Linked DNA regions of Astyanax mexicanus. The protein of the gene in region 2 interacts with the protein of the main gene of each other region in a pairwise test. Links are inferred from orthologs where the notes say so. Each region holds a gene or a part of one and is shown on either strand. Other genes may lie near its edges.

What was found.
Region 1: the proteins of appl2 (region 2) and rab5c interact in binary tests that used the Homo sapiens proteins (3 or more experiments, as listed by UniProt). The two-hybrid records come from large-scale screens. The link is inferred for Astyanax mexicanus from reciprocal best matches to the Homo sapiens genes APPL2 and RAB5C.
Region 3: the proteins of appl2 (region 2) and rab22a interact in binary tests that used the Homo sapiens proteins (3 or more experiments, as listed by UniProt). The two-hybrid records come from large-scale screens. The link is inferred for Astyanax mexicanus from reciprocal best matches to the Homo sapiens genes APPL2 and RAB22A.
Region 4: the proteins of appl2 (region 2) and cradd interact in binary tests that used the Homo sapiens proteins (3 or more experiments, as listed by UniProt). The two-hybrid records come from large-scale screens. The link is inferred for Astyanax mexicanus from reciprocal best matches to the Homo sapiens genes APPL2 and CRADD.

Annotation. Positions count from the first base shown.
Region 1 is NC_064426.1:26,224,203-26,231,723, reverse strand, and holds the start of rab5c (ras-related protein Rab-5C), read left to right. Parts: upstream 1-4,500; 5' UTR 4,501-4,669; intron 4,670-7,521. UniProt on the Homo sapiens protein: The small GTPases Rab are key regulators of intracellular membrane trafficking, from the formation of transport vesicles to their fusion with membranes.
Region 2 is NC_064409.1:46,283,377-46,291,358, forward strand, and holds the start of appl2 (DCC-interacting protein 13-beta), read left to right. Parts: upstream 1-4,962; 5' UTR 4,963-5,020; coding exon 5,021-5,074; intron 5,075-7,982. UniProt on the Homo sapiens protein: Multifunctional adapter protein that binds to various membrane receptors, nuclear factors and signaling proteins to regulate many processes, such as cell proliferation, immune response, endosomal trafficking and cell metabolism.
Region 3 is NC_064412.1:55,114,428-55,121,852, reverse strand, and holds the start of rab22a (ras-related protein Rab-22A), read left to right. Parts: upstream 1-4,412; 5' UTR 4,413-4,801; coding exon 4,802-4,837; intron 4,838-6,308; coding exon 6,309-6,388; intron 6,389-7,273; coding exon 7,274-7,355; intron 7,356-7,425. Other genes in the region: ppp4r1l (serine/threonine-protein phosphatase 4 regulatory subunit 1), read right to left, coding at 102-208, 599-728, 1,254-1,298, 3,084-3,090. UniProt on the Homo sapiens protein: Plays a role in endocytosis and intracellular protein transport. Mediates trafficking of TF from early endosomes to recycling endosomes. Required for NGF-mediated endocytosis of NTRK1, and subsequent neurite outgrowth.
Region 4 is NC_064409.1:36,379,253-36,386,884, reverse strand, and holds the start of cradd (death domain-containing protein CRADD), read right to left. Parts: upstream 3,011-7,632; 5' UTR 2,569-3,010; coding exon 2,250-2,568; intron 1-2,249. UniProt on the Homo sapiens protein: Adapter protein that associates with PIDD1 and the caspase CASP2 to form the PIDDosome, a complex that activates CASP2 and triggers apoptosis.

The DNA.
Region 1 (7,521 bases), on a different chromosome or scaffold from region 2:
ATGCAGACTGACTGGTCGTGAACTTAGAACCTATAGGTACAGCTGTATGAGTTATTCCAAACACATGAATAATTATCACAATCTCCTCAATTAAATGTTTCAAATGAAAAAAAAAAAGTTTGTAAAATTAAAACTACATGAATAAAAGTAAAAGTAACTATATGACTGTAGAACCTGCAGCTTTATCTGTTGTATAAGACACAGTGAATACCAGTAGTTTAAGACCCTCAATCAGTTGATTCAAGTGATTCAGGATTATAAAGGTAAAACTACATTAATAAAAGAAAAAAAACATTACCTTAGGCAATGTAGACTGACTGTTCTTGCCCTTAGTAACAACTACACAGCTGTATCAGACACAGGAATAGTTAATTTCCTCAATTAAATTATTTAAATGTTTGGGGTTCATCAATGTAAACGTGCTTGACTAAAAGTAAGTAACTACATGACCTCAGGCAATGTAAGCCAGGTACAGCTGTATCTGTTGTTTCAGCCACAAGGAATAGTTAATCTCCTCAATAAAATGATGAAGAGAACAAGGTTTTTTAAAAGTAAACTACATAAACAAAACTACAAGTAACAACATGACCTCAGGCAATAGGCTAACTATTTTTGACCATAGAAACAGCTACAGATACAGTTATTTAAGTTGTTTCAGATGTAGAAATAGTTAGTCTCTTCAATCAAATGAATCAAGTGAAGGTGATTTATAACGGAAAATATAAAATGAGTTATTCAGAAATATACACTATATGGACCAAATTATTGGGACACCAGGAGATGCATTGTTTCGTTCAAAATCAAGGTCTTTAATAAATAGTTTATTGTAACTATGAACTGTCTCTAATATCCATAAAAGGCTAGAATGAAATAGAATGAAAGTTGGCCCGCTGTTAAGCAGGTTTTTATAATGTGAGATTCAAAGTTTGAACGCTAGGTGTAAGAAACGGGCCAAAGAGTCTAAAAGCGGCGAGAGTGAAGTTGTAGCGCAGAAAAACGTGCCAAACAGTCTAAAAGCGGAGACAGTGCGCATTTCTAGCGCCGAAAAACGGGCCAAAGAGTCTAAAAGCGGAGAGGATGCGCAGTTGTAGCGAAGGAAAACGGGTCAAAGAGTCTAAAAGCGGAGAGAGTGCTCAGTTTTAGAGGAGAAACACTAGGGCTGGCCCGAATAGCGTTTTTTGAGCTCCGGATATTCGGCACTGATTCGAAGCGAATATTCGAATATTCGTTTTTAAAAAAAGAGGTAAAAAAAAAAAGCAAATCACGGCCCCTTTAATCCACTGAAAAATGTTCAATTTGCTCTGACCGACGAGACATATTCACCCCGGATTTTTGGTGTTTTTATCCCGGATTTTTGTGTTTTCACCCCATATTTTTTCTGTGTTTTTAGCCCAGATTTCTTTGTGTTTTCATCCCGGAATTTCTGCTGCCCCACACCGAGGCTGCTGCTGCACGGTTTCTCCGCTGCGCAAGCCAGCCCAGTAAATTGCTGTTTGTGTTTTCACACTTAGGCTATTTGCTTAAAAAAACAAACAAAAAAAACGTTTGTTCAGGAAGTATTTTATATTCTTAAACATTGTTGATTATATTAGAGGACAGTCATTGTAAACTGTACTTGGTCTATTTCAGTTAAAGGATTGTGCAGGGCATATTACTGATTTTGTATTTTTGCACTTGGGCTATAAGCTCAATATTAAATATTTCGTTTGTTTAGAAATTATTTTATATTTTTAAACCATGTTAAATTATATTAGAGTAGAGGAAAGTCATTGTTAATGACGTTATTGTACTTGGTCTATTTCGGTTTAAGGATTGTGCAGGGCATAGCCGTATTACTGATTTTGTATTTTTGCACTTGGGCTATAAGCTCAATATTAAATATTTCGTTTGCTTAGAAATTATTTTATATTTTTAAACCATTTTAAATTATATTAGATAAGAGGAAATTCGTTCAGACATCATTTTTGTAGGCCAGGCTTTTGTAACCGATTTAGCCCCTACTGTTGCCACATTACCCCTTACGTTTTATTATATAAATCAGTTTCGAAGAGCCTGCATTTTTTTTTATCATGTATAATAGAGGTCTGCGCGAGACTGATTTTTAAACCCACTCTTCCACGCTCCCGCGTTTCTGTCTCGTTACCGCTCCGCAAAAAAATTGCTTCTTTTAATCCCGCGCCCGCCCGCCACATACACATTTCTGCCGCTCCCGCCCCGCGTTCCTAATATAAATTAAATAAACTACATTTAATGCTTCAAATTTACTTATATATTTATTAAAACAGCAGCGCTGAATAGTGTGGTCCCGTTCCTTACCCCAGTCCAAACACCATCGGTGTGTGCGTGTGTGTCGGTCCATCCTGCGCGTTGAGAGTTTTCTTTAGGTTTTTTTTTTTACAATTATTACAGTTTTCTTAACTATTTATTAATTTGCTCCCGCATCGTCTGGATTAAACTCCCGCTCCAGCCAATAACAGTTCAGTTCTGTCCCGCGCGCAAGATATTCTGACGGGACCCGCGAGAACAGAAGTGGTTAGAGTGAGGTGGAACTCTGGAAAGGAGAAAAAAAACGAATATCCGAATACCAAAATTAAAAACCGAATACCTACTCAACGAACGAATATCCGAATACCCGAATATTCGGGTCCAGCCCTAAGAAACACGGGCCAAAAAGTCTAAAAGCGGAGAGGGTGCGCAGTTGTAGCACAGAAATCGGGCCAAAGAGTCTAAAAGCGGAGACAGTGCGCATTTCTAGCGCAGAAAAATGGGCCAAAGAGTCTAAAAGCGGAGAGGATGCGCAGTTGTAGCGCAAGAAAACGGGCCAAAGGGTCTAAAAGCGGAGAGAGTGCTCAGTTTTAGCGGAGAAAAACGGGCCAAAAAGTCTAAAAGCGAAGAGAGTGCTCAGTTTTAGCGCAGAAAAACGGGCCAAAGAGTCTAAAAGTTGCCGTAATTAAGGAGTTTAATATTAAGAGACCTCATGAAATGAAACATCAATTTGAAAAATCTTAGTTTACACAACACTGTCAAAGATAGATAAAGATAGTAAGTCAAGTAAAATGGTGTGTAAATGAAAGTAATGAGGAAAATGTATTATTTAAAGTGGTGTATTTCATTATTTGTTTTATTACAGAGTCTGTGGCCCGTGACTTCAAATATATTTCTTCTTTCTGGCCCCCAACAGAAAAAGTTTGAACACCCCTGCTTTAGGATGTTGGATGGTTGGATGGCTTTCCATCATTCAACACAGTTCCACTCTCCCACAGCTCAATCCTGGGGGCTTTATATTCCTCCACTTCATTTCTGGCATTTGGCATGATGTCAGTAAATTCAGAGAATTTTATTCTGTTTGGCAGTACTTTTCTACAGAGACTAGACATGCTGTATGGATGCACTTTCACATCTATGTCAAAAATGAGTGTTAGTAGCGTATATTTTACATACCAGAACTGTGGATGATATATTAAATTAAGGAAGCAGACTGTTACATAGAAGGATCAAGATATTAAATTGAGGGAACAATTGAGGGACTGGACTGTTAAAATGAGGTAGTGATTTAATAAATTTGTGGAGCAGTTTGTTTGGAAATTATTTATTAAATTAAGGGAGCACACTGTTAAAACGAAGAAACATGTTACTAAATTGAGGGAACAATTTATTGAACTTAGGGACTAAACTGTTAACATGAGGTAACAATTTATTAAATTGGTGGAGAAGTTTGCTTAGGAATGATCTATTAAAATTAGGTAATGATTTGTTAAATTGATGGAGTAGTTTTTTGGGAATAATTTATTAAATTAAGGGAGCAGACTGTTAAATCAAAGAAAGTTTTTTAAATAAAAGGATACAATTTATTAAAATAAGAAACTGGACTGCTAAAATGAGGTAACAATTTATTAAATTGGTGGAGCAGTTTGTTTGGGAATGATCTATTAAATTAAGGGAACTATTTTTTAAACTATGGGGCTAAACTGTTAAAATGGGGCAATGAATTATTAAATTTGTGGAGTGGTTTGTTTGGTAATGATCTATAAAATTAAAGGAACTATTAATAAAACTAGAGTAATTGGTTACCTAAATTAATGGAACGATTTTTTTAAATTGAGGGAACACCTTATTAAACTAAGGAAAAGAATGGGAAAATTTAAGGGAACACTTTTATTGTGTTAAACTGAAGGAGTCCGTAATTAACTAAATTGAGAAAACGATACAGATAAATGAATCACATAGGAATACAATTAGTATTTCAATAACTATAATACGACATACTTTTTACCTCATTTTACCTCAGGTGGGGAGGGGACGCCCAGTCAGTCAGTCATATCAGTCGAGGCTTTTAGAGGCATTAAGCCTAAAGTACAAGTAAATGTATCCTCAGTCTTTTATTTGACAATATTCAGAAAGAACTAAAATCATCCAAACTTCTGACTCTGAGGAAACACAAGCAACACTTCCCCTCTCTGTCTGCAGGTGAGTTGATCTGACTGGTGCTTCTCCCAGTCCGTCAGCAGTAAAAGTCCCTGCGCTCGGAAATAGGAGGATCGCTGAGGATCGCTGAAGTCGCGGAAGCGAATGCCGGCGGGGCCCGTGGTGAGAGAGGCAGCTTTGGGGCGGCGAGAGGCAGGAATTGCGCTCTGACCCTGAGTCAGTCTTCCGTGTGAGAGACTCTAAGGTAAATCCAGCACGTTTTTATTCAGTTAACAGCTTTTTTCTGGTCGACACTGTCGATGGCAGGTATTAAAACGTTGGTTAGACAGCTGAACGGTCATGTTTATCGCCTGTTAGCTTCTACGTTGCTGGCTAGCGTTAGCTTAACTCACTCCCCAGCCTGGAGTTTAATAAAAGCGTCTCCTGTCTATTTAGCTAAACCTACTCTCTTCTTGTGAGTACACGTATTAAAACTCTAACGCTAGTTTTACCAGTGACACCAGCTTAATTAGTTGGCTTATAGCTAAGCTTAGCTATCTTGATTAGCCTGTTGACATAACAACAAATTCAGAAGACTGTTAGCTAACGCTAGTTTAGCTAGCTAGCTTAGCCAGCTTAGCCAGTGAGTGGATTGGTGTCTGCAGGCAGCTTCTGCTTTTTCGAGCTTGTTGGCGTTGTTAATAAACATAGATACGTCCTCTATGTCGTATTCACTTATTAACTGTGTATTTGTGCGATTAAAACACATATTTAGTTGGTTTGGTTGTTTATTTGTCGCTAGTCGCCATTAAAAAAGCGTTTGCCCATTTAGCCTTTGGTCACTATTTTATGTGGACACTGTGTTGCTAGCATATCTAGCTTAGCTAACCATATCTAGCTAAAGCGACTATTAAGTAGAGGTGGATAAGCCAGCTTTAGAAAGTAAAAATCCATCCCAGGTTTTTGTACCAACTCCCTGGGCGGTTCAGCTGCAACAGAGCCGCCCAGGCAGTTGGTACAAAACTCTGGGAGGGATTCTTACTTTCTGGAGCTGGCTTACCCACCCCTTCTATTGAGGTAACGTTAGCGTTATGTTAGCTAGCTTAGCTATGCTTCTAAGAGAAAGCTTTTGCCTTTTATAGTTTGTTTGTTTGTAAGCATGTCGCTAATGTCATATATTTTAGAGGTTAATTGTGTTTCTAAACATGACAAAAAAGTCCTAAAAGTGAGCTTATGAGACATGGGTTTGTGTTGGGTAGGGTTCGCTAACTAGCTAACCCAACCTAACGTTATGTGATTATTGTTGGAGATGTGTTTGGGGTTAAGCTAGCTAGCTATTTAGCTATTTTGTTGCTGTAATTTAATAGCTAAGCTAAGCTTGTTAGTTAAGTTAGCCTAGTAAGTTGAGTTATACTCATCTTATGCAGCAGGATCAGAGCTCAAGTTTTAAATGTCCCATTTAACTAGCCAGCCAATCTGCTTAGCTTAGCTATCAAATGGAGGAGGAGTGGTCATGCACCTTAGTTAACCATTTCCATCTTAAGATACATTTTTAATCAAAGAGTCCATGTTCTTATGTTAAAGGGAAGCTCTAGTACTGGGAATATGTAAAATTAGGTGCGTGTCACACAGAAATCGAAAGTCAGCTAATTCTCAAGCTAAACCAGACCAGCCACAGTAGCTGGCTAGCCAGCTGAGTCATTGCTGTAGCCTTCACTTTGAGTTTCCTGTGGCCTACGCCTGTCTGAACTTGTCTCATAAAGTCAAATAACTGATATGAAGACCTGGTTTGTGGTCAGTCGTGTTAACTAGAGTTAGTAAGTGTTTTGGGCTGAGTCATAGTGATAAAAGGTTATACCACTGCCTCTGTTGGGTTGTTCTGATGGAGCTTCATTTTTTTTAATGCTGTTTCTTAACCTTTGATACCCAGTAAGGATTTAGCTATGTGACCTGACATAACACAAGGCTGACCATGTTATATAGCTAAGTTAGCACAGGGGTGGACTTTTGCTCTCTAGCATTTTCGAATAGGCTACACATGATGGTGTCTTGAGGTTGATCTTCGCATGTTTTTATCACTTTCACAGTGATGGTTTGACACCTCATGGCTGAAGCTGTGGCTTGACATGTGATGACTGATGTGGAGAGTAGTTTTTTCTCAGCTAAGAGCAGTTTCTAAAGGTTTATTTGTGGCTCAGGTAGTGCTGTGTGTTCTGGGCATATTGTTGATGTTAAGATTTGTATTGTATAGGGCCTTTTTATTTAAAAAACACTTGTACCTTACAGGACAGAACAATTGGATAATAAAATCAAACCCCTGACCCACTCAAATTCAATTCAGTTCAATTTTATTTATATAGAGGTTTTTACAACAAAAGTTGTCACAAAGCTGCTTTACAGAGAAAACAGGTCCATGCCTCTTGTGATTTGAGCACTACAGAGATGCCAATAATTGTGATGAAACCTTAAGTGGAACCAAGACCCGCTCAGTACAAACATATAACAACAAAACAACAGCACAGAGAGAACAGGGCATCTCAATACATGTGAAAGAGATGGTAAAGAAAATAGAAAGAGAAAAAAGCTGGAGGTTGTGTAATAATTCTGCTGAATAGAAGGACAGGGCTGAACCACAAATCGCCATCAAACACAGTATGATTTTCTAAGAACATAAACATAGGGCAACCAAAAACCTTTTTTTTATGTTTTTTTGATGATGTAAATCAGGACTCCAAGGTTAAAAAAATAAATCAATAATCCAATCAAAATCAGATTTCTAAAGTTATTGCCCACCTCTAACCCAAGCCAAGATTTTCTGCTGTTATCAAGCCTTCCATATCAATACACTATCTCTATCTGTGCAATATCAATACTGCCAAAGCCAGTATCATGACAATGATTAACTGTCAATAAATTTTGCACTACTACACTCCTAAAAATAAAGGTGCTTCACGTAGTTCTTTGAGCAGTGCCCTTAGAGAACCTCTTATTGTCCCATAAAGAACCACAGGATATATTCTTTAACTTTGTTAAAATGAGATAAACAAAAACATGTATTAAATTTACTTCCCTTTTTATGGCATAGTTTAAAGGACCAAATAGCAGTGTTAGTTTCGT
Region 2 (7,982 bases):
ACACATTTATTTATAACCTACATTTGAAGTTTCTGTGCTGTATTTTTTGTTGCTATTCTGTCTATCTCTGTTAAAATAAACGTAATATAAAATTGATAGGCTGTTCATGTCTTTGGGTTAAATGGGATCAAATTAAGCAGAGGATCAAATAATTATTTTTTCCACTGTAACTGTTTAGTGCAGTGTATTATGTGGAGTCCCATAAGGTTCTATTTTAGGGCCTATTGAATTGATGTACATTGGAACTGTAATGTAGTTTTGCAAGAATTAATCTAAAGCATGGTCGGTTAAACCGGTTAAAATGGGAAAAGGACCATTATTTGCAGTTTTTTTTATATTAAGAATCAATAGTGGTTATTGTCTTCATACTGTATTTAAGAAGATGCTTTCGCCCTTTAGTGATTAAAAACATCAACATTATAAAGCACAGACTTGCAGATCATCATCTGTCAAATTTATCTCAATAAAGACGTGTCTGCAGTGCTAGAAAAAAAGCACAGCATGGGGTTTTCTATTTCCAACAGCAGCAGCACTTGTCCATAAAAGGGAGCTGGAAAACCATTACACGTGACTCTTAACATGATATCAGCTCGTTTTTGTGTTGAAATATGGCAATCAAAGCTGGCGGAACACAAAGAGAAGGGTTTTGGTGGATTGGCTGAGGAGGAGGATGTTTTGGTCTCGCGGTGTAATGAATTACTTGGATCAGATCACGAGTAGTGCAGATTCAGGTATAAACAAAGAGCTGCTTGTTGTTGTAGTCACAGCGAGGATGAGAGGATGAGACGGCCAACTTGGAAGCGAGCACATTATACCATTATCTGGCAGCATACTCCACTCACAGATAGACCGTACACTGCACAGATGAATATGTGCCAGAGAGAGAGAGACAGAGAGAGAGAGAGAGAGAGAGAGAGAGTTGAACCATAACAACACACAACTACAACATAAAGGGAACCTAGAGTGACCATATCCTACATTTTTACTGGATCTGTAAAACCCAACTGATACTTTTAGTTAATTTATCTATGTATCGTTAACCCTTACAATACAGCAGGCTCGTTTTGTTACTGTGCATTAGCAGTGTGCAATATTATTTCAAACGCAATAATATTGCAAAAAAGTAAGACGATAAAAAAGCTCCATATTGTTATATTCTTAAAAACACATTTATTTTATTGATTTTTTAAAATTACTTTATTTCCCATTTTTCCCAGATTTTATAAAAATTTATATTGACAGTTTTCAAATATATTTTTGCCTTGCTTACAGTATCACAATATATTGTGATATATATTAATCTGTAACCACTGTATTGTGATACATATCATATTGCCAAGTCCTTGCCAATACACAGTCCTACTTGTGACAATGTGCCATTTAAAGTACCAGCATTTCTATACACACTATATACTATACTTTACATACTATATACTATATTAGAGGCAGACAATCTATATCTTACTTCAGTCAGTGTATGAGAATTCAGTATGCAGTTCAGTAAAGATATACATTATTACACACTGGTTACACAACACTGTACACACTGTATGTATATATTCAAACACAGTATTTAGAGGCCTCTGTGTCCTCTTGGTTTTCACAGAGCGTAGTTTTGGTCTCAGACTAAACAGCTTTGCTATTATTAAGGAAGAAACTATAGGACATCATTTAAACTGACTGTCATACACAGAATTACTGGCATAAACAGCAATTTAATAAAAGGAGACACTGGATTGTGATTGTGAATCATTCTTATGATGGAACACATAAATTAGGTAAGAAAATTAGCCAATGCTTAGTTTCTACTGATTCTGTTCTCAGGAGGTGCAGGTCAGTTCTCAACCAATCCCAATTAGAGAAACAGTGCACTACAATGGTAGTGTTTAAAGACTCATATTAAGCAATGAAAAAACAAAGTATATTGCAAATAAAATGTACTTTTTTTTTTGCATTTTTTAATGCTGATTTCTCATATGTACATGCCCTGCTAAACTAGCAATTACATATGGCTTCTTTTTATTAATCTGTTGCCTGAGCCCACCAGCAGGCCATAAATCGTTCATTGTGTATATCCATCAGTTTATCTGAAACTATACTGGTCCCGTAAGTCAGGGTCAGTGAATCATAGTAAAGCTTAGAATCTCTGCTTTTCATTGCTTTTGCAAAACATCTGCATCCATTATTTTCAATCAACAGAATGATTTCTAGTTAGCTAATACATTCTGCTTGCTAACTTTGAGCTAAACAGAATGCTACTTTTCCTGACTGAGCTTCAGGGAGTAAACAAATGAATCACCTACACTGAAAAACAATAGTGCTTTAAACTCACAGCACCTACATGTGTTAAATTAAATTGCAGTGGCTGCAAATGAGTAGAACACGAAACATCAACACCTAATCTAATCTTCAGCAACTACACTACAAAAACACTACACACACCATTTAATATCTTACGCAGATACAAACACGTCTGCCAATCAGAACAACTTTACAACTACAAGACTATCCACCACTTACAAGCAAAAACCAGACAACAACCATACCCAACATGTTAAACCATGACGTTATATCACTAAAGGTGACAGTGTTCCAGAAAATGGTGATTAACCCAGAGTACCCTGTACTAAAGCAACCTTTACTAATGCACTCTGCAACCAAGACGCATAAAAAACACGTAATTGAGAAATATAATGTTGAAAAACACGCCAAAACGAAGCAATATTATCCCAAATAAACACGGTACCCAGAATTCCTGCTCTCCGCAATTAGCATAACCCCACCCACAGCTCATTGCTGCAACAAGTGGCAAAGACACAGTATAGTATTTGCGTGAAATCAGAGACCTTATTAATTTCTGAAGGCCTGTAAGGACTTTTTATTCATTTACACATACTTTTATATATCTAATTCTGAGTTAATATCACTATTAAAAATATATACATTTAAATATAACACAGTTTAAGATAATATATGTATATTTACATTACCATGCTGCTTTACACATTAGTCTAATATTGATGCTGAATAAGATTTCTGGTCACATCACATTAGCACAGGTTTACAGGTGAGTAGTTAAAAACTTAAAAACACAATATACAAAATTAAAATAGAGAATATATCATTATCACTTACATTTTTTCTAAACTCCAGCTGCACTTGTAGAATGTTTCCTTGCTTCACTTATTACCTAATAATGAGATTTATTTTCTTGCACTGAATCATGATGAGCCACAAGGAGACAGGGACGGACTGGGACGGACTGTGAGTTCTGGGAAAGTCCAGAACGGCCTTCATTTCAATAACCAGAATTTATTTAGTCTAGCAACTAACAACAACTGAGGGCGCTAATATGATAAATTGTCCATTTGTCAAGCGTGTAGGTCTAAAAGTGCAGGCTAATAATTACACAGAATAGACCTAATAGGCTATTATACTAGTTAATTTCAAAAATTGCACTAGTATTGCTGATGATTATGGCTTACAGCCAATGAAAACCAAAAAATCAGTGTCTCAGAAAATTTGAATATTATATAAGACCAATTGGTGCTTTTGGCAGTGTGGGCAGTGTGCCAAATCCTGCTGGAAAATTAAATCCGCATTTTCATAAAGTTTTCAACAATGGGAAGCATGAATTGCTGTAAGATTTTCCGGGAAAACACTGCACTGACTTTGGACTTGATGTAACACAGTGGATCAACACCAGCAGATAACGTGGCTCTCCAAACCTTTACTGATCATCAGAAATTTTACATTTCATTGGCTGTAATCCATAATCATCAACAATAAAAGACATAAACGCTTAAAATAGATCACTCTGAGTGCAATATATCTATATAATACATGAGTTTCACGTGTTACTGAAATACTTAATTACTGAAATAAAGTAACCTTTCAATTCTATATATATTTTTGAAATGCACTAGGATGTGATGGGATCTGGGAAAAACCTCCACATAGTAAAATTAAACCTTTTTGAGATTTTGTAACCACCTGAAACCTGTATCTGTGTCAAAGGCTGTGATTAACCAAAGTTGATTTATCCGTTTTTTTATTTTTAATAATAAAGCTTAAAAGGTTGGAGGATTAAACGGTGCAATTGCAAATAGAATCAAACTAATAAACAAACAATCACTTTTTAACAAGATAATCAAGCATATTTTGGTGAGATATTGTCAGATATGTCAGACAAAAGGTTACAGAGTAACAATTTCATGAAAACATACTGCCATTCAACACAGTATCACTCTTTGCCAAACATGTGGCAGAGGTAATAAATGTTTTCCTAAATTCCATCAAATACTGTAGGTGTTAAAAAAAAAACAGCCACCAAAATAAAAATAAGTCTATTTAGGTGAAATAAATGTACAAATACACTACTGCACATGAAGAAAGCAGGCTCCAATAAACACAGTACCAAGAAGTCCTGCTCGTTGAAATTAGCATAACCCCGCCCACAGCTCATTACCGCAACAAATGGCAACGACATAATGCTTTATTAGTGTGAAATCAGGGACCCTATTCATTTCTAAAGACCTGTAAGAACTTATAATTGAGGTAATAAAAAGTACAGGGCCGTCCTGGGGACTGGTCTCAGTCCGTCCCTGTGAGGAGGACACAGAAATGTCCAGTAAAGGTAAAGACGGAGCAGGCTTCGATAATCTTTCAGTATCACTCAGCCTCGTCCAGTGTGGGGCGCTGCCGGATCACATTCAGCTTTAAACGGAGAGGCTTTTTCTAGTGTGAGTGTTAAACATGAGCATAGGTGTGAATAAAACGCTAAAAATGTAATTTGAGGTAATTTCACTTACATGTCTTCATAAATCAACGTCGCTTAAGCATTAAAACGTGTGAAGAGTTCAGCTTGCTTGTCTAATCTAACCTACATCATTAACTAGCATTATTACCTACCGTCGCGGGGGCGTGGCTCAGTGATGCCCGGTCGCGCAGTGCACACCGGGAAAGCGAGTCCACACAGCTCCAATAATTCTAGCACCATCACTTACTTGTAAAGAGCAAGATGCCGGCCGTTCATAAACTACTCCTGGAGGAAGCCCTGCAGGACAGTCCACAGGTAGGCTGAGCGCGGCTGTGCTGCAGCAGGTGCTGTGTTAGAGGTGCTATTCGCTGTTGTACCCGCTGTATTGGAGGCTAGGCTGTGTGTTTATCTGTAGTCTTCGCGAACTGTTGATCCCGTTTTTCACCCAGAACAGCAGGATCTCAGTGATGAGCGCTCACGCAGCTCGACCAGCGCTTCACTGTTTAATTTTATCCGCTATAAAACAGGCTGGTGTCTGTTTAAAGCAGAGAGCAGGGCTGTGTGGTGAAGAGGAGAGCGGCAGGAACAGCTACATTATTGAACAGCAGCTCGGGTCTCTGTGTTATTTCAGGAGTAAAAAGGCCACGGAGGCGAGCGGACACATCCCGCATCTCAGCTGTTTAATAACCAGCGGATACGACTTTAGCAGCGAGCTGCTACTAACGAGCAGACTCAGAGCACATAACACAGCGTTTAACCGCCATGTTGAGTCGTTTATAGGACGTTTCAGTACAGAAAAGAGTGAGTTTAGCCTGCAGTCAGTCTGGAATAACAGGGCCTGCTGAGGTCCACTCTGGGAGGGGCCTGATTAACTGGATGTGTTCAGTGTATGTTAGTTTACCTAGCTAGAGTGTCTGACTCTGAGAGCCTGACTGTCAGATACACGCTGATCCAGACTATAACGTTACAGCTCTGTAACATTATGTTATGTAAAATTATGTTTTCCCTTTTACCAAATTGAAAACCTCTGAAATATAATTAAGAGGAAGATGGATGATCACAAGCCATCAAACTGAACTGCTTGAAATTTTGAGGAGTGGCTTAAAGTTACCCAAAAGCAGTGTGTAAGACTGTTGGAGGAGAACATGCCAAGATGCACGAAAACTGTGATTAAAAACCAGGGTTATTCCACCAAATATTAATTTCTGAACTCTTAAAACTTTATGAATATGAATATGTTTCCTTTGCATTATTTGAGGTCTGAAAGCTCGGCATCTTTTTTGTTATTTCAGCCATTTCTCATTTTCTGCAAATAAATGCTTTAAATGACAATATTTTTATTTGTAATTTTGAAGAAATGTTGTCTGTAGTTTAAAGAATAAAACAACAATGTTTATTTTACTCAAACATATACATATAAATAGCAAAATAAGAGAAACTAATTCAGAAACTGAAGTGGTCTCTTAAATTATTCCAGAGCTGTATATATATATAGGCTGCACGATGTTAAAGCTGTCACCTATTCAGATAGCAAATTAAATTGTTAATATATCAAAATATGTTCTTATAACAATGCTGGAAAATAGCTTAAAATGAAATTTTAAAATAAGTGTAAGCTTGTGTTGTTAAGACTTCTTGTTTAGTTATGTATAAAACCATAGAATGTTACAGAAGTCACAGATTTTTGGAGTTAAATGGGTTTGTTTATTGTTTTTTTCCAGTAGAGCTGCACAGTATGCACCTGCACCTGGAATACCGTGATATTCATTTTCAGGGATGAAGTCATATATTCTTTGCTCTGTATCATAATAAGTCTTTTAGTAAGTAATTTTGTATTTTGTAAATGATACACACATTCTGAAATGTGTGTATTATTTACTGCATGCTTTAGATTATTTTGAGAGAGCAGATAAAAAATCTTAATAATAAATATTTCTGTCCATTATTATTTATAATACTTTGGAAGGATTTTTTTTAGAAAATGGAACAAAACAGTTCAGTTAAATGCAGGTCTTTTACCTCAGGAATCAGCAGCACTCAGGAATCATCATTACTTACAATGTATGCATCCTTTATTAGGTATTGAGATCCCTTTCCCTTGCCAGTAATACTTTTAGATTGAAGCCTGATCTCTTTTGACTTCACAAAAAGGACATCTCAAGAAGAGAAATGTGTGATATGTGAATAACAAAGCTAGATCTGAGTGAAGGTGTTTTCCTGCTCTGAATGTTTGGCAGCTTTAAAGCGAAAGTTTATACACTTTTTCTTTTACTTCTAATGTGCTTGATCAACCAAGACAAGACATGTTTGGGGTTTTGAAGTTTCCTCCTCAGTTCTTCGTTTGACTTTCCATGTGAAGTGATATCTAGGTTCACATAGCTTGATCTGAATGACTTGTGGCTCATTTGTAGCTGAGCCCTTGTCAGCCAGCCTTAGAGTTAGTCAGCCTCGTTCTTACTTTCTGCCCCTGGCCAGAGCAAGATCACTTTCCCCTGCATAGCTCTGGAACTTGACACTTATCCTACAAGCAGCTAATTACATTAACAACGTAGCATACAATGTATAGACGAGACCTCAGTAAGCTTTGCTGAGCTCAGTATTGCACGTTTCATTTTTATTAGCAAAAAAGAGAGCCTGTTAACATGAACAAGTTTTATTTGTTTAGGATATTGCAACATTTTATATAGCAGCACACTTTTCGAAAGGTCAAAACATGAAACTAGTGGCATTCCCATTATGTGATAAGGAACAATTACATGTAACACTACTGGTTTCAACCCTGTTCCTGGAGAGCTGCCCTCCCGCAGACTTTGGATCCAACCCTAATCCACTTCTCCTGATCCAATTCATTACTAGCTTCACACTTTCATGGTGAGCTGAATTGGTTGTGTTAGATTTGTGTTGTAGTTGAAACCTGCAGCACTTTAGCAGGATTTTGTTTGGAAAACTGGATTCAAATGTACAGTTCCTGCTTCATTTGAATTGTTGGGACACACACAGCATTTTTATACTGGGGAAACATGGAAAAGTTTCTTGTAGGTGAAGATATTTTATACATATGGTGACACTAGCCCACCAACCATGACAGATTATCCACAGGTCCACCACCTGTCAGTGTATACACTCTATTGTCAACTTGATGCCAACTTCATGCACTGAAGCTAAGCTAAAAAAAGAACAATACATAAGATACATTCTGATAAATAAAATCTACAAGATAATA
Region 3 (7,425 bases), on a different chromosome or scaffold from region 2:
ATTAGAGCTGTTTTGGTCAATTTATTTATTCAACTACATAGACTTATTGTTCCCACCGTACAAAAGATTTGTACATTTGTACAACATAAAAAGAGACATACCTGCATCCTCGGACATTCTGCCAACTGTCTCCATCACGCTGATGAAGTCATTCTCATCATCACTGAATTCTCGTAGCACATCTAATAACCCACGTGCAACAATTTGTCTAAGAAAAACACAGTAGAAAATAAGGAGATTAAAGCACTGTTTGAGACAAGGTCATTTATAGTCATAAACAGAGGACAGCCTGCTGTTCAGTGGCTTTTATTGGTTAAGTGCTTACACAGCTGTGCTGTGAACGTAAATTGCTGGTGGTCGGCTTGTTGTCTAATAAAGAGGTCTGTCTGAGGTCCACATTTGTGCTAGAGTGTTTTGTAGAGTTAATTTCTTTAATGACAAGGACATATCATTGTACAACTATTACAAAACTTTTAATGGAAGTCAGTGTAAAAAGATTGAATCTTTCTATTTCTATTTGTCCATTCCCCATATAAAAAAATGCCCAAATGTTTGGGAACCATATGTATGAGTATATAAACACACTACTGTCACTCACCTGTTGAAGACATTCTCACTGAAGGCATATTTTTCTAGCCGGCCCAGAGGAGTCAGGTTATCCTGCCCTGCATCCAGGAATGCTGTGATTCTAATACCATCACACTCAGAACCATAGTCGTCAAATCCAACTGCAACAAACAATAGATTGCTTCAGTTCAAGAACAGGATGTGGCCTTGTGTATCACTAAATTACACCAAAATAAACACTACAATCATCCCTACTATCACATTGCTCTATCAAATTATTTACCTTCACAAACATTTGCCAAATATTCAGTATTTATATAATTGCAGCCACACAAAACTCATGCATGTCTCAATGGGTAACTTTACACAAAACCTTGACACGATGTAGGAAACATTGTCATCACATCTGATCACAGTGTTAAATTATTGAAACTTTACTTCTTAAAATCTTTTTAACAATTTCATACTTTTTATAAGTAAAAATGCTATTAAGTCACAAATTAAGACATAATAACCCAAAGACATACTGTTAAATTACTTTATTTTCAAAGCAAATTATAATATTTCAGCAACCTGGTAGCTTCCTTTGAACTCAGTTTTTAGATATCAGCTAATTTAAATGGCATGTCACGAGTAACAAAAATCAGTTTTTGCTAAAAGAGCAAATCATGTGTATGAATACTTACAGTCATCTAGCTCATCATGACCATCTTCAAAATACAAAGATAGACCTGGAAAGAGCCAGAAAAAAAAAGCTGTTTAAAATATATTCAAACACAATTTAACTAAACTAATAACATACAAAAACATCTGTACTCTTGCAGCGAGTAAACATCCACAGTGCAGAAGTGTGGGTTTCACATGTCTTTTAGAGTTAAAGCAATAAACCAATGAAATGACATTTCTGTTTCTCTCAAGAAAGAATGGGCCAGTTTCCTAAGCATCTTAACATTAAAAACCTCTTAATGAGAATGCATGAGAAAGCGAGACAGAGCTCAGTGTGATGCCACCCCAGGTCAATGAAGGAATGCCACAGCCTATATAAATAATATTGCTATCCATGTGCATCCCTTCATGATCACTATAAAATTAAACAAATGAGGTGCATCTGAAGTGTAGTCTATCCTAAGAAGGTTTCAAATCAATTGTAATGGAATGCAAAGCCTAAATTATGAAGATTGTATCTCTGTCCACATATTTGTATTTTCTTACTAAATGTCAGCACATTTAAATCCTACATTTAGTTGTTTTTATGGTTTTAAAGCAAAAGAGAAAGCTTGGAACAGGAGCCGTAGCAACAGGAAGCAGGTAGAAATAATCATTGACGATTTAGACAAAATAAATATCAGATAAGTCTACTACCAAAATACTCTTTTGTAGCAACCCCATTATATTCCGATTCAAAGTATCAATATTCAATATTAACACGTGACTTGTAAAAATAGCATTAGAGATACAGGTTATGTGGTCCTGGTAATATGCTTAGCCTAACTTAGATCTGGAGATCTGATATTATCGTTACTAGTAAACATTTCACAGCTGATATATGAGATACAACTCTTTATTAATATATCCTAGTTTCATTACAGATATCTTTATTTAAGTTTTTACTAATGAAAACTGAGTTAATACAGAAGTTAACCAGCTAACATAAATACCTGACAGGTAAAAAGCACGCAGGAAACAGTCTGTCACATAGATGAATACAGCTAAAGGGTCTGTTCACATTGTTTTATTCTGTTTAGTGTTTAATTAACGAATATTTAACTAGTAATGCTAGTTTAATATGTTATACGTGTCCCAAACTTTACTCTATATTTTTTAAAGAATGGAAAAGAGCTTAGCTGAAGGATTTAACCAGATAAAGGCTTTGTTTTGCTTCTACGAGGGCGTTAGCTAGCTAAGCTAAGTAGAGGTGGGTAACGCAGGTCCAGAAAGTAAAAATCCATCCCAGGGTTTTGTACCAACTGCTTGGGCGGCCCTGCTGCAGCCAGAAGACTAGCTAGGCAGTTGGTACAAAACCCTGGGATGGATTTTTACTTTTTGGACCTGAGTTACCCACCTCTAAAGCTAGCTACCCTTTGGCATTCTGAGCACGATACTTAACTACAGTTAGCTAGGTTATTAATAAAATATGGATAAACATATATTAGCTATAAAACACAGGTAAATTTTAAAGTTACAGCGAACAGTTACATAAAACCCAACAAAAAACTGAACAATTCTGCGGCTAAACGTTAGCTAACCTAAGCTAAGCTAATCTATGCTAAGCTAAACTAAGCTAGGCTAGGCTAAGCTAGGCTAGGCTAGCTGTTCGCTACCGTGTTGGTCTAAAGCTTGGACTGGAAGCCCTCGTTAATCCACAGAAAAGGCGAGAAACGTCAGATTATTATTATTAATATACACGCTACATGGCCGTGTTATTAAACACGATTATATTTCGATATAATAACGATAGTAAATGATTTAAAAAAACAACAGAAACCTGAGGGAGGAAAGGAATTATTCCACATTACCTGCCATCTTGATGTACACTGTTCTGCTGCGGAGCTGTCATTCACCCCGCAGAGTAAAGCGCCTCCTGAAAATAATTCCTCCTGCTGGAACTCTTTAAACAGGGCTTTAAACATTTATCTAGTATTATTGTACAAAAAAACATGCATATATTTACAAAGAAGGATTGCAAGTAAAGAGAAAAAAGTACGGGTTCAACCAAAGAAGAAAAAATAAATAAATAAAACAAATATAAAGATTTAGGGTTTACATTCTAAAACATTATCTTCAGTTGGCAATGGGCTCCGTGGATAAAACAAAATCCTCAGGTAAATAATAGTGTCCATAATTGTCCCAAAAATGTAAAAAAAAAAAAAAAAAGATATTAGTATGTGCAGTGATATTAAAAGTGCTATTTAAACAATAATTTATTAAAGCAAGCATTTTATCTAACTTCATTATAAGTCTTAAGCCTGACTCAGTGCCTATTTTCACCTTCAGTAACTTTAGAAAAAATGAAATGCTCAAATAGCAAAAATGTGTTAAATTAACACCTTTTTAGTATTTTTTTTTTTTTTACATCTCTAATGCACTGTTAAAACAACATTGATCTGCAAGATTTATTCCACGTGATGGTTTTATATGTCTTGTTTGTATTAATGCTTATTTAACTTACATTAAATATGCATATCATGTAAGTGTAAAATTTAGAAAATCTAATAAAAATCTTCACATAATCTTTTTTAATCATAACAATCTATGAAAACAAAATACTCAAAACTAAGTATCTTCAGAAGATATATTACATTTAAATAGAATTGCAATCTTCAATGTAATCTTTAATGATCTGCATTTAATGATGTTTTTTGTTCAAAGATGGTTTTAAATTTTTATTTTAATTATAAAAAGACAGAATTTTTTTTAGAATTCTTTCTTCATGAATAGAATATTTTGTTAGTATAATAATAATAATCCATAGAGAACAACAGTATGTTGAATTAACTTCACAGAATTCACAGACGCAATGTTGATCTCCGACATTTATTCAATGTTGTTTTTAATTTGTCATGTTTAAAAATATTCAGTCATCTGACTAAAATAAAATAAAGTCAGAAGAATTGTCATAACAATCTTAAAATACTATTTTGCTAATAGTTACAACCTATGAAAACAGAAAATACATGTTATTGACAGTTTTTTATAACATATTTTCAATTAAGTAGATCTAATTTTGTGACTAGTAAATAAAAATAGCACGCTCCTAAAATAAGCAATAAAATGTTCTCAAAATGTAAAGAATTTCAACAAGCTTCTCAATTTTTATGGAACAGCCGATGTCACGTGACACACCAGCCATAACTCAAGGTGGCGCCTCCGGAGTTGTTCGCTGTGTAGCTGTTGGAGCTAATAGCGCAGCTAGCGTCAGTTCAGAGCGCTGATTTAACCGGTAGTTTACAGCGTTTTGAAGTCATAAAACCTTTTGCGGATTAAAGTTATTTTCTCTCTCCAGCTTTACATTCTGCAGGAAGGCGGGTACAATAAAACAGCGGGCAGACTTCCTGCCACATAGCTGTATAAACGCTGGCTATGCTAAGCTAACTGGCTAACACAGTTCAGTGTAGATAAGAGAAGTAGTTAGACAGCTAGCTTAGCTTAGCTTAGCCTAGCCTAGCCTAGCTCAGCTGACTGCTGTGAGCCGGACTGTAATGTTTAGGGACGCTTTATTATTTTGGGGATCGATATGTCTCTCCGAGAGCTGAAAGTCTGCCTGCTTGGGGTAAGATATTTATGTAGCGTTACATTTATTTATCGCTGTGTTTATGTTAATGTGTAGTTAGCATTAAAAGCTAATTCTTCTGCTGACTGTGTTCATATTATATTGCTGTCAACAGATCCACAGTAGAAGAAAACTAATATAGTTAACTAGTTATCTATACTGGTACTGAGTCTCTGTTTTTATTCACACATAAACTGTAACTTAGTTAAAACACAGTGTCAGATTTGCTATAATATAGGAGAGTTAAAAATTATCGTTTCAGTTAGAAATGTTGTGTAAATACTTCAGAAAAGTTAAGATTAGGGATTGAGCTGGGAGGTTAATCCAATTAATTTGATTAATAAAATGAACCGTTTTTTTTAAATTTAGTTATTTATAGGTTTATGTTTGAGTAAAATGAACATTGTTGTTTTTTATTCTACAAACCACGAATTTCTCCCAAATTCCAAGTAAAAATATTGTCATTTAGAGCATTTATTTGCAGAAAATGAGAAATGGCTGAAATACCAAATAAAGCAAATGATGCAAAGAAAACAAGTTTTTATCCATAAAGATTTAAGAGTCCAGAAATGAATATTTGGTGGAATAACCCTGGTTTTTGATCACAGTTTTCATGCATCTTGGCATCATGTTCTTCTCCACCCGTCTTACACACTGCTTTTGGATAACTTTATGCCACTCCTGGTACAAAAATGTAATCAGTTCAGCTTGGTTTGATGGCTTGTGATCATTCATCTTGCTCTTAATTATATTCCGTAGTTTTTTTTTTTACTGAGGTTCACCATTTTTAAGTGGTCTCTTTACTTCTTTTCGAGAGCTGTATAGAAGCTTTGTTTAATATAATAATATAAGAACTACATGTAAGGTTGAAGGGGTCTGCTTACTCTTCGTTAAAAAAAATAATAATTGAACTAAATGTAAAGAAAACAATAGCTTGCAATTTACAAATGGTGTTGTTTGTTATGTAAATTTTTGTTACAAAATTGCCAGATTCGAACAATATGGCAAAAATCTATATCATGTATATTTCTTAATTTCAGTAAATACAATATAGTTCCGATATCAATATGAACAGTATAAAATCCACCACCCATTGTGTACGTAATCACACACTGAGAACTGAGTGATAGTAAAAATATATCACAATATTTAAAGACTGTTTTTACAATATACATAATTTATAGTTATAGCTATATGAGTTAAAGTACAGATAAGCTCATTACCCTAGGTAAAAGTAAAAGTTCTCACATTAGACCTCCACTTAAGTAAAAGTTCAGAATTATTTGCCTTCAAGCCAAATACTGAGGTATTGAAAAGTGAAAGTATCACAATTTATGTTTAAGTTTCAGATTAAAGACTTGTTGTAATATATTGTAATTATTCATTTCTTACAACTTGATTAGCAATGTGTATTTTTGGTATAATTAAGTGATTTGTGATGAGTGAGTATTGTTGTTCCATTGTGTTGTAGGACACCGGTGTTGGAAAGTCGAGTATTGTGTGGAGATTTGTGGAGGATAGCTTTGATCCGAACATTAATCCTACAATTGGGTAAGCTTATCGCTACTTAAAGTGTTCATCTTCACTCACTAGTCATGTTGAATATATGATCACAGAATAGCAATTCTTTTTATTTATTTTCTGATGTGATGGAATTGTGTCTTTACTCAAAAGAAGCAGTAGAAAATAAGTATAATAAGTGTGTGTGTGTGTGTGTGTGTGTGTGTGTTGTGATTAATTTTTTTTTCTAAAATGAAGAAAATGTAAGAATACTGACTGGTATGGGTGTAACAGTACACATCAGTCACATTCATGCTGCGGTTTGACCTCCATGGATCAGTACTAATTTTGTACAACAGGAAATTATAATGTAATATATATATATATATATATATATATATATATATATATATATATATATATATATATATATATATATATATATATATATAATGTCAGTAGGGAATGACGATGAACGCTAGGCTCATATTCATTTTTACACTTTACTTACATAAGTTAAATGAAATGGCTTTTATCAGCTAAACGATATGAGCTGTAAAGGGCCTGTACAGTAAAAATAGCTAAGCTAATTATAGCATTTGATTGTTTACCAACAGACTTGCTTCGTTTCTCTGTGTAAATGTAATTTAGTTTGGCATACTGAGGAATTGAACATTCCCTGAATGCGTCTTCACTTCCTGTATTTATTGTTTCAAATGAAAAGCCTTTGGGCTGTCGTTGCAAAATGACTGTAGTGGAAACATATAAATGGTAAATAAGTTGCTCTCTTGCACAATTACGGTGATTAATGTGTACAGTGTATTCTTCATGTGACTGTATGCACCAACCCATGACATCCATATTGTGACAGTGAATATACCTAGAAACATACTGTTGACAGCAGAATTACTAATAGAACTTAACTTTTTTTTTTAGAGCATCATTTATGACGAAGACTGTGCAGTACCAAAATGAGCTCCATAAATTTCTCATCTGGGACACAGCAGGACAAGAGAGGGTAAGCAAATGCGTAATCCCTGCAAAAGTGTTGCTCACACTTTCACTTTCTATCTTCAGCTCATCTGATG
Region 4 (7,632 bases), about 9.9 Mb from region 2:
CATGCATGTCTCAGGCAGAAGTGTAAAGGACTGAAGGTGTGATCTGAACAGACACAAGTTCTTGGCAAAGGTGTTAAAATAATTTTCCTGCTCTCTGTGAAAAGAGTCTACTTTTGAGTAGTGTACCTCTTGGTGAGAGACTAACAGACATGGTTCTATAACACAATCAAGGACATTTTGCCCAGCCGACAAACTTTAGGATGTCCTTAGGCCAGTCGTTATAACAGGAGTGTTGTGATCAAGAAACCTGCCTTGCAATGAGAGCTTCAATCCTGCTTTTGCTGTAGAGCGAAACACTGCCCCAACTGCTGGTGTGATTATCAGAAGCCAGCACATACTACAAGTTTGTCACTTCAAGAGGTGATACGAGTTACAATAACATGTTAGTGATATGTCAGTACATCCTCCTGCAACCACACATTGTCTTTCATGGCAGAATGGCAGAATAGCATGTCATTTTTCAGCAGGACAGTGCTCACTCACACACAGCAAGGATTGAACCACTTCACTCCAACACACTGCCTAATTTATCAATCAAGCATTTACAGGACCAGCTGGGCAGTCAGCTTTGGCAACCTATAAAGTGTACAGGATCTACAGGCCCAGCTGAGCAACTGTGCCGCAGGATGCCATACAGACCCTGTTTGCCTCTATGCCCAAGTGTATCTCATCTTGTATCCATGCTAGAGGCAACCTATCGGGGTAGAAGAGCCTCCTTTCCAACTAGATTATGGCGGTTTCACGGTATTTCACAAATTTGTTAATAATTTTTTTATTTTGCATGACTGGGCTTTAATATTGGTGTGTGACTTGCTGTGCTGTTAGGAGTACATATAATATAAAACACTAAGGCTTTAAATAAAGGCTTTGATTGAAGTATTTAAAGAGACATTTTTCAAATGTTCTATAGAACAAGTTAGACAGAGGTTTAATATCAATTTACAATTTGTTATTATTGAAGCCATTAGAGGCATTACAGTATTAAAATAAGCCACAGATTATTTCCTTCTTTCTCCAGTTAACAAATGCATTCAATTTAATGTGCATTAATATTATCCTTCAAGCTACAGTATTAATGTATTTAAACAGGGCTATAGTTACTGCTCTTGAAATGTTTTTGCACCTCGTATCCAGTGTTTAAGGAGTTTTATCACTTGTGCTAAATAAACAAAATAAATAAGCTGTGAATGGTTTGTGTAATTCCATTCTTCTCTTTCTGAGTGAATAATTGCTGTTTACTGTTGCTTTTCTATTTAACTCACATAAAAACACTCACATTGCAACAGGAGCTCTTTAGATAAAGAGCTGTTCTCATTTTTTTTCCCGTGTAGGACAGAGCATTTGACTCCACAGAACTGAGCTACAGTTATTCCCATGTGTTAGTTTGTTATGCTGTATGTGCTTCTTTAGCAGTGCTGTTCCACACAGCACTCCGCAGCTCCTCTACAAGTAGGTGAAAATGCATACTGGTTTTAATTTTCCCCTCCGGTATACCGAATAAAACGGTATACCTCCCAGCACTGTTGTGTTTGTGATAGAAATCGTTGTAAAAGAACAGGGCAGCTCATTCACCTATGGCATTACTACGTAACTGACTTTTGCAGTACAACAACAAAAATGAAATCATCTGAGGTTTGGACACCCTTTTAAAAACCTCTGTTACAACTCCCTGGGCCAATCTTAACTCCTGAAACAATTCTATTTTAACAGTTTGCAACAAATTGTAGTGAACTGCAAGCTAGCCAGCTTTACAGACCTTACAGCTGATTTTGCTGACTGAAATACAGAATTTTGTTTTTTAATAAACCTCAATAGTAAGGCTAAACTATAGCCTTTATTAACTAAATTTACTACTGCATGGCACTATTAGTTATTTTAGATAGCTAGCTACAAAGTTATATTAGCACTGTCACTCCTAAGGTGTGAGGACACTTCAGAAGAAGGAAAGAACTGTCTATAGAGTCTAGAGCTGTGGGAAACCTGAGCCCACCACCTTATCACTCACTGACTGTAACTCCAGACTAGTGTTGTTTTTTCATTGGAAGGGGAAAACGAGCAACCTGAACTTCTGGGTCAGCGAGTTCAGTTCATCTCCTCCATGTTTTCCAGAGCTGTTGAATAAAACTAGTTACCTCCACACTCTCCGGTTAGCGAGTTAACGTACACCTCGCCCTGTGCCTGTGTGTACAGCAGCCACTACACCTCAGAAACACAGAGAGAGAGAGAAAGAGAGATAGAGAGAGACAGACCTGTGGAGGGGGACAGGGTCGCGCTGTCCTGTTCTCCTCCTCCTGATTGCTGCAGCAGCAGCTCGTCTCTGATCCAGGGGAAGTCGCGCTGCAGGGCTGTGAGGAAGCCGCTGAAGGCGCGGGGACCCCGGCTGGGCAGGACACTGAGCAGCCTGAGGGTCTTCAGCTTGTTGGAGGGCTGTGACTGGATCTCCTCCACCTGGCTCTCTGTTAAAATGTCCTCCTGGTACAGGAACTGAATGACCGTGTCGTCCACGATCAGCTGCTCGCAGAGCGGCAGTGTGTTCGCGCGGAGTATCTCTCTGTGTTTCGGGTCCATGGCTGCACTGATATCGTTAGTTTCGGGCTGGTGGAGTTCAGGGCTGCTGTTAGCACCTCTGCTAATCCGGCTAACGCAGGCTGGAGCTCAGCAGCGGGGCACAAACACGGCCACCCTTCGCCACAGGTCCAACAGAAATACTCACCCAAAACCCGACCTGCCGGACTCATAACCCCACATTTAAACCTGTACTCTGTGTTTTATAGGTCTGTTATTGTTATTATCGGGGCTCCGTACTCCACCGTTTCCTCTTGTTGCATCATTTGGCACCGACTAGAAACGAAACCCGGGAACTGAAGTTTAGTTCACACATCTGTCTACACTGTTTTTAATTTTTTTAACTTAATTTTTTTAACATTTGTTTAACTTTTTTTTATATCATAATAACTGCTCCTCACACTCAGCCATTACTGTGTCTTCTGTTATTTATCTAGACGTGTTTGTTAAAGCGAAAATTAAACAAATGTTGAAGAGGTTCTGGTGGACATGCGGCCTGAAAAATAAGAGAAAGGTGTCATTACCAAGAAATACGATTTTAGTCAGAATCTAATATCAACACCTTCCTATAAAAATAAGCGTCTAAACGTTTTTCAGGAAACACGAAAATTATATGACTATTTAAAAAATAGCAGTGGTTTATGAGGAGAGTTTATCATACAGTCAAATAGTAGAACCAACCAGAAACCTTAATGAAAATTGTGCCACAAATTGTAGGGAATTTCTAGCTAGCTTTGTGGCTATTTTGCTAACTAAAACTCATATTTAAAACGTAATAAAATGTAATGATAAGACTAAACAACTATGCAGTATTTATAGCATAACCTTTATTAATGAAAAGTTAAGTTTATTTCATAGTAAAAATTAATTCACTTACCAGAATCGTGGAAATTTTAATTGGAACGCTATTAAAATTGAGTCAAAATAAAAAGTACATTTTGATTAAAAAAAAAGAGTAGTAGTAAAATAAGCCACCGTTAACCTAATGAATGCTGTTTTCTAAAATGTTTCTGTTTACAGTTCACAAGGATTTTGTCCAGAACCAAGGGTAATGTGACTGATAAAGTAAAACATTTTTGGTACCACTTTAAAATAAGGCTCCTTTATAAAGGGTTCATAAATATATTATGAAGGGGTTTATTAATGGCTATAAATAAAGTGGTAAATACTTTAAAACATTAATAAGCACTTACAACACAAATAATAAGAAAAACAGTTTAACATATCTAATAAAAAATAAAATGTAAGTTAAGTAATTTAATATGTTATCATAGTTAAATGAATAAAATTATTAACATAAATGTTAATGCTGACTGATGGAAAAGACAAAGTAAAATAAGGATCTAGCTGTTTACTAACCTAATTAATAACATTAGAAACCCCTCAATAAAGAAGCCTTATTTTAAAGTGGTAATTTTGTATATGAAAACATCTGTATCAGTATTTAGAATATAAATATATGACTTTACATTTATAAATGACATTATTTGAACAAGAGTTTTTTTTATACAACTGTATTAAAGTTTGACAAACAAGGGTTTCTGCTGCCTTAAGATACACATGAAGGTAATACCTTAAATGACTGAAAAGCCTAATTATGTTCTACAGGCAAGAGTTTGGGTAACATTTGGCAATACAATTAAGATTTACCCCCAATAATTGCTGCTTGTAGATGTATGTGTGCATATTCTTTGTTCATTTTTAGCATTACTATTGCTGTTGCTGACACAGTTGTTCCAGGATATGAAGTGAATTTGCATGAAATGAGCGTTGGTATGTCAGCAGCTGTCAGAGACAGCATGTAAATTTTATTTGGCTAATCCTGAAGACGTGTGTTCTGTTCACACAATTAAATCTCCCTATTTTTAGTGCATATCTATCCATCAGTGATTAAATTACCTGCACTGCACATTTCTGTTCCATTCTATCTGTCATGCCATCCCTGCTTATAAATGGTTAAATAGTCTTTAATATTTTTTTTCTGAACCATTGGAAAGGTTATTCTGGATTATATTCAAAAATGTTTGATTATCTGTCTCTGCCTTCAGTTTACAGAAGAATTCCTCTAACCTCACTTTTTTTGTTTTTGTGTACTTTGGTTAATTGAAGTTTTCCCAAAGGCACTCTTACCAAGTATTTATATATTTTTCTCACTGTTACCCTAGAAACTGTTAATATGCATCTGCAATTTCTTCTTTTTTTCTTTCTTTTCTGCTTTATGACGATCTCATTTTTTAAACTAAAATGTCCTTCAGTTAATTTTTGTTCTGTACTAGACAGACATTGTTGACATGAATAATACTAAATTAATAGGCATATCTTAAACAAATGTTTTTTTTCGTATGTCTGTGTAAACATCTAGTGTTGTTTTTGACATGATAAATCACATTACAAAGAACTAAAAGTTTAAATCTTTAGTCTAGCCTGTTTTGCATTTTGGGTTTATTATATAAGGGCATCTGGATCATCTGTCCATTTGCGTCGTATCCTGTTTTTCATTTAGTTCCTATTTGAGGCAAAATTTGCTAAATTAAATGTGTCTGTTAAGATTAAACTGAGTGGTTCTCTTAGACTTAAGTGAATTTTCATATCACATCTGATTATCTTTTTTCTCTTTGCAGTGCAGTTACATCCCCTCTGTGCAGTATCACTTTTAACTCTGGACCCAGATTTCTGTAAAGCTGCTTTGTAACTCTGATGTAATAAAACTCTAAACTTTTTTCCTTTATAGTTTTTGCTTTTAGGTTTAGTCTGTCATTTCCCTGTCAATTCAGAGACGATGACTCCGTTTAGACCTGGACACCTTATGATTAGGATTAGTAGTTGTATTGTGTGCTGATAATATTTTAACCATTTACACTGGGTAGTTACAAGTGTCTATGTTAAGTCCGACTGAAATGTAATTGCTGTGTGCGACAGAATATGCTGATTTGCTTGTAGCATGGAAAATATTACTGGTGTTTCATGTGCTGGGTGATTGGTTTAAGTGATTAAATATGTTTATGTTTTAGATCTTGTGTGTGCTTGGCTTGATCCAAGCAGAATCCCAATATTACTCATGACACACAAAGGAAGCAGGTGTAAAAGGGGTATACTAATACTATAATTATGAGAAAAGCTTTACAGGCAGTTTTTTTTTTTTAAGAATTATAAATATAAAATGTCAAATAAAATCAGCAAAGCTCCATGGTAAAGGACATAAAATCATCCAAACATAATGAAGGATAAAGGATTCTCTGAAAACCCAGAGGGAGGGGTGATAGGGATATTAGATGAGGTTTTGGTGAACTGCTCTACGTTACTTGCACTGAATTCATTTGGGCTGCTTTCCCTAAACCCGACACCTGTATGTCTCTTTAACTTTCAGTGCCATCAATCCGGTGTAATGGAGCACTTGTGAGACTAATTACACCCCATTTGCTTTAATGAGGTTTGGATTTCCTCAAGACCACACGACACTGAAGCACCCCTAAAGCTTTTACCTCTAACAACAAGATCAGCACCATTTTCTGAGTGCTGACAATAGTATTTACTTTCTTGTACTAAACCAGTAGATACACTCTACATACACTCTACATCATATTTTAAAAACCCCTGCAGCTCTGATGTGTTTGCACATAGCACAAAACAGATTAAGCACAGGCATAGACTATTTTGTATTAGGAAAAAAAGGAAAGCAACTACTGCAGCAGCACATACCGGTTTCAAGGCACTAAAGCCGTTCTAGATATACACCAGCCACATTAGAAGCAGTTCCCGGCAGGGCTTAGTCAGGGATCTGGGTTCAACGGACATGGATCCATTTACACTGGAGGATGAGTGGGCCACTATTCTAGCCCATCTCAAAACAAAACCATCATTGAAGGTCTCTCTCCCTCCAACACACACACATGCTCACGAACGTTTAGAGAAAATAAATGCCCTATTGTCTTTCTAGGGAATTTAGAAACCTCATATTTAATAGGGCTCAAGATAAAAAAGAGCCTATGAAACTGAAGCTTTTTTCTTTTATTTGTCACTTCATGAAAAAAAGAAAAACATTTACTTGTAATTCAGCACCATTGTATACAACAGTATCATGTTAGTTTTTTCAAGACCGATATGACCGAGAGGCTCAAAGAGCAGACTGATCAGGTGATGCCAATACGTTCTTCCGCTTAGACCACTTCAAAGAAGCCATGTTGAGGAGAAAAGAAAACAAAGCTCTGGGAGTCCCAGCACGACTGGTAGAAGCTGCCATTACTGCTAATCTAAGCTTTTGGGTTTTCAAGCAATGGTTCCTCAGGTCATGGTTTCGAGAAGTGGTAACTGATCAACATAAAAGGGCAAGTTCTACATGCTGCCATGTGTGGAGTCCAACGCAAATCAACACCACTTATCAGTAAAAAGCTGGTGAAACAAGGGAGTGTTGTACTGGAAATCTCCTTGTCTCTCCAGAAACACAACCATACATACTGACAGGAAAAAGCAGCCAAAAACAAAACAAAGTTATAATCAATTATAATTTAAGATCCGGATCAGTAGCCAATTTTCAGACTCATAAAACAAAAAGGTGTTCACAAAGGGTTCTTGTGCAATGCCATAAAAAAAACTTTTGGTTCGCACATTTTAAAAAGATGTGTCAAAGAGAAAATAAACTTTTAAAGATTTTAGGACCCTTCACATAATGTCAAATTTATTAACTATTATATGGAAGTCTGTAAAATTTAAATGTTTGTTATAAAAGGTTCTCAACACTCATCTCTTTCACAAAACCGTTTTATTAAAAATTAAAAGGTTTGTTTTATCTAAGCAAAAGTGCTTTTCCTATGGCATGGCATAAGTAACCTTTTTGGCAGCCTTTATCTTTAACAGCACCCTAAAAATGTGGGCAGAAGTAAAGAACAAATATTTGATATTAGTGCCTCACAGGCAAAGACATCTGTATTGTGTAGTGAGAGTACTATAATTTATGCATTCAACAAGCAATATATTAGGATCACCTGTACACCATCTAACTAAGCAGTCATATGGCCGCAGTGCACAAATTTAAACAGGTCTGGGCCAGCAGCTTCAGATAATATTTAC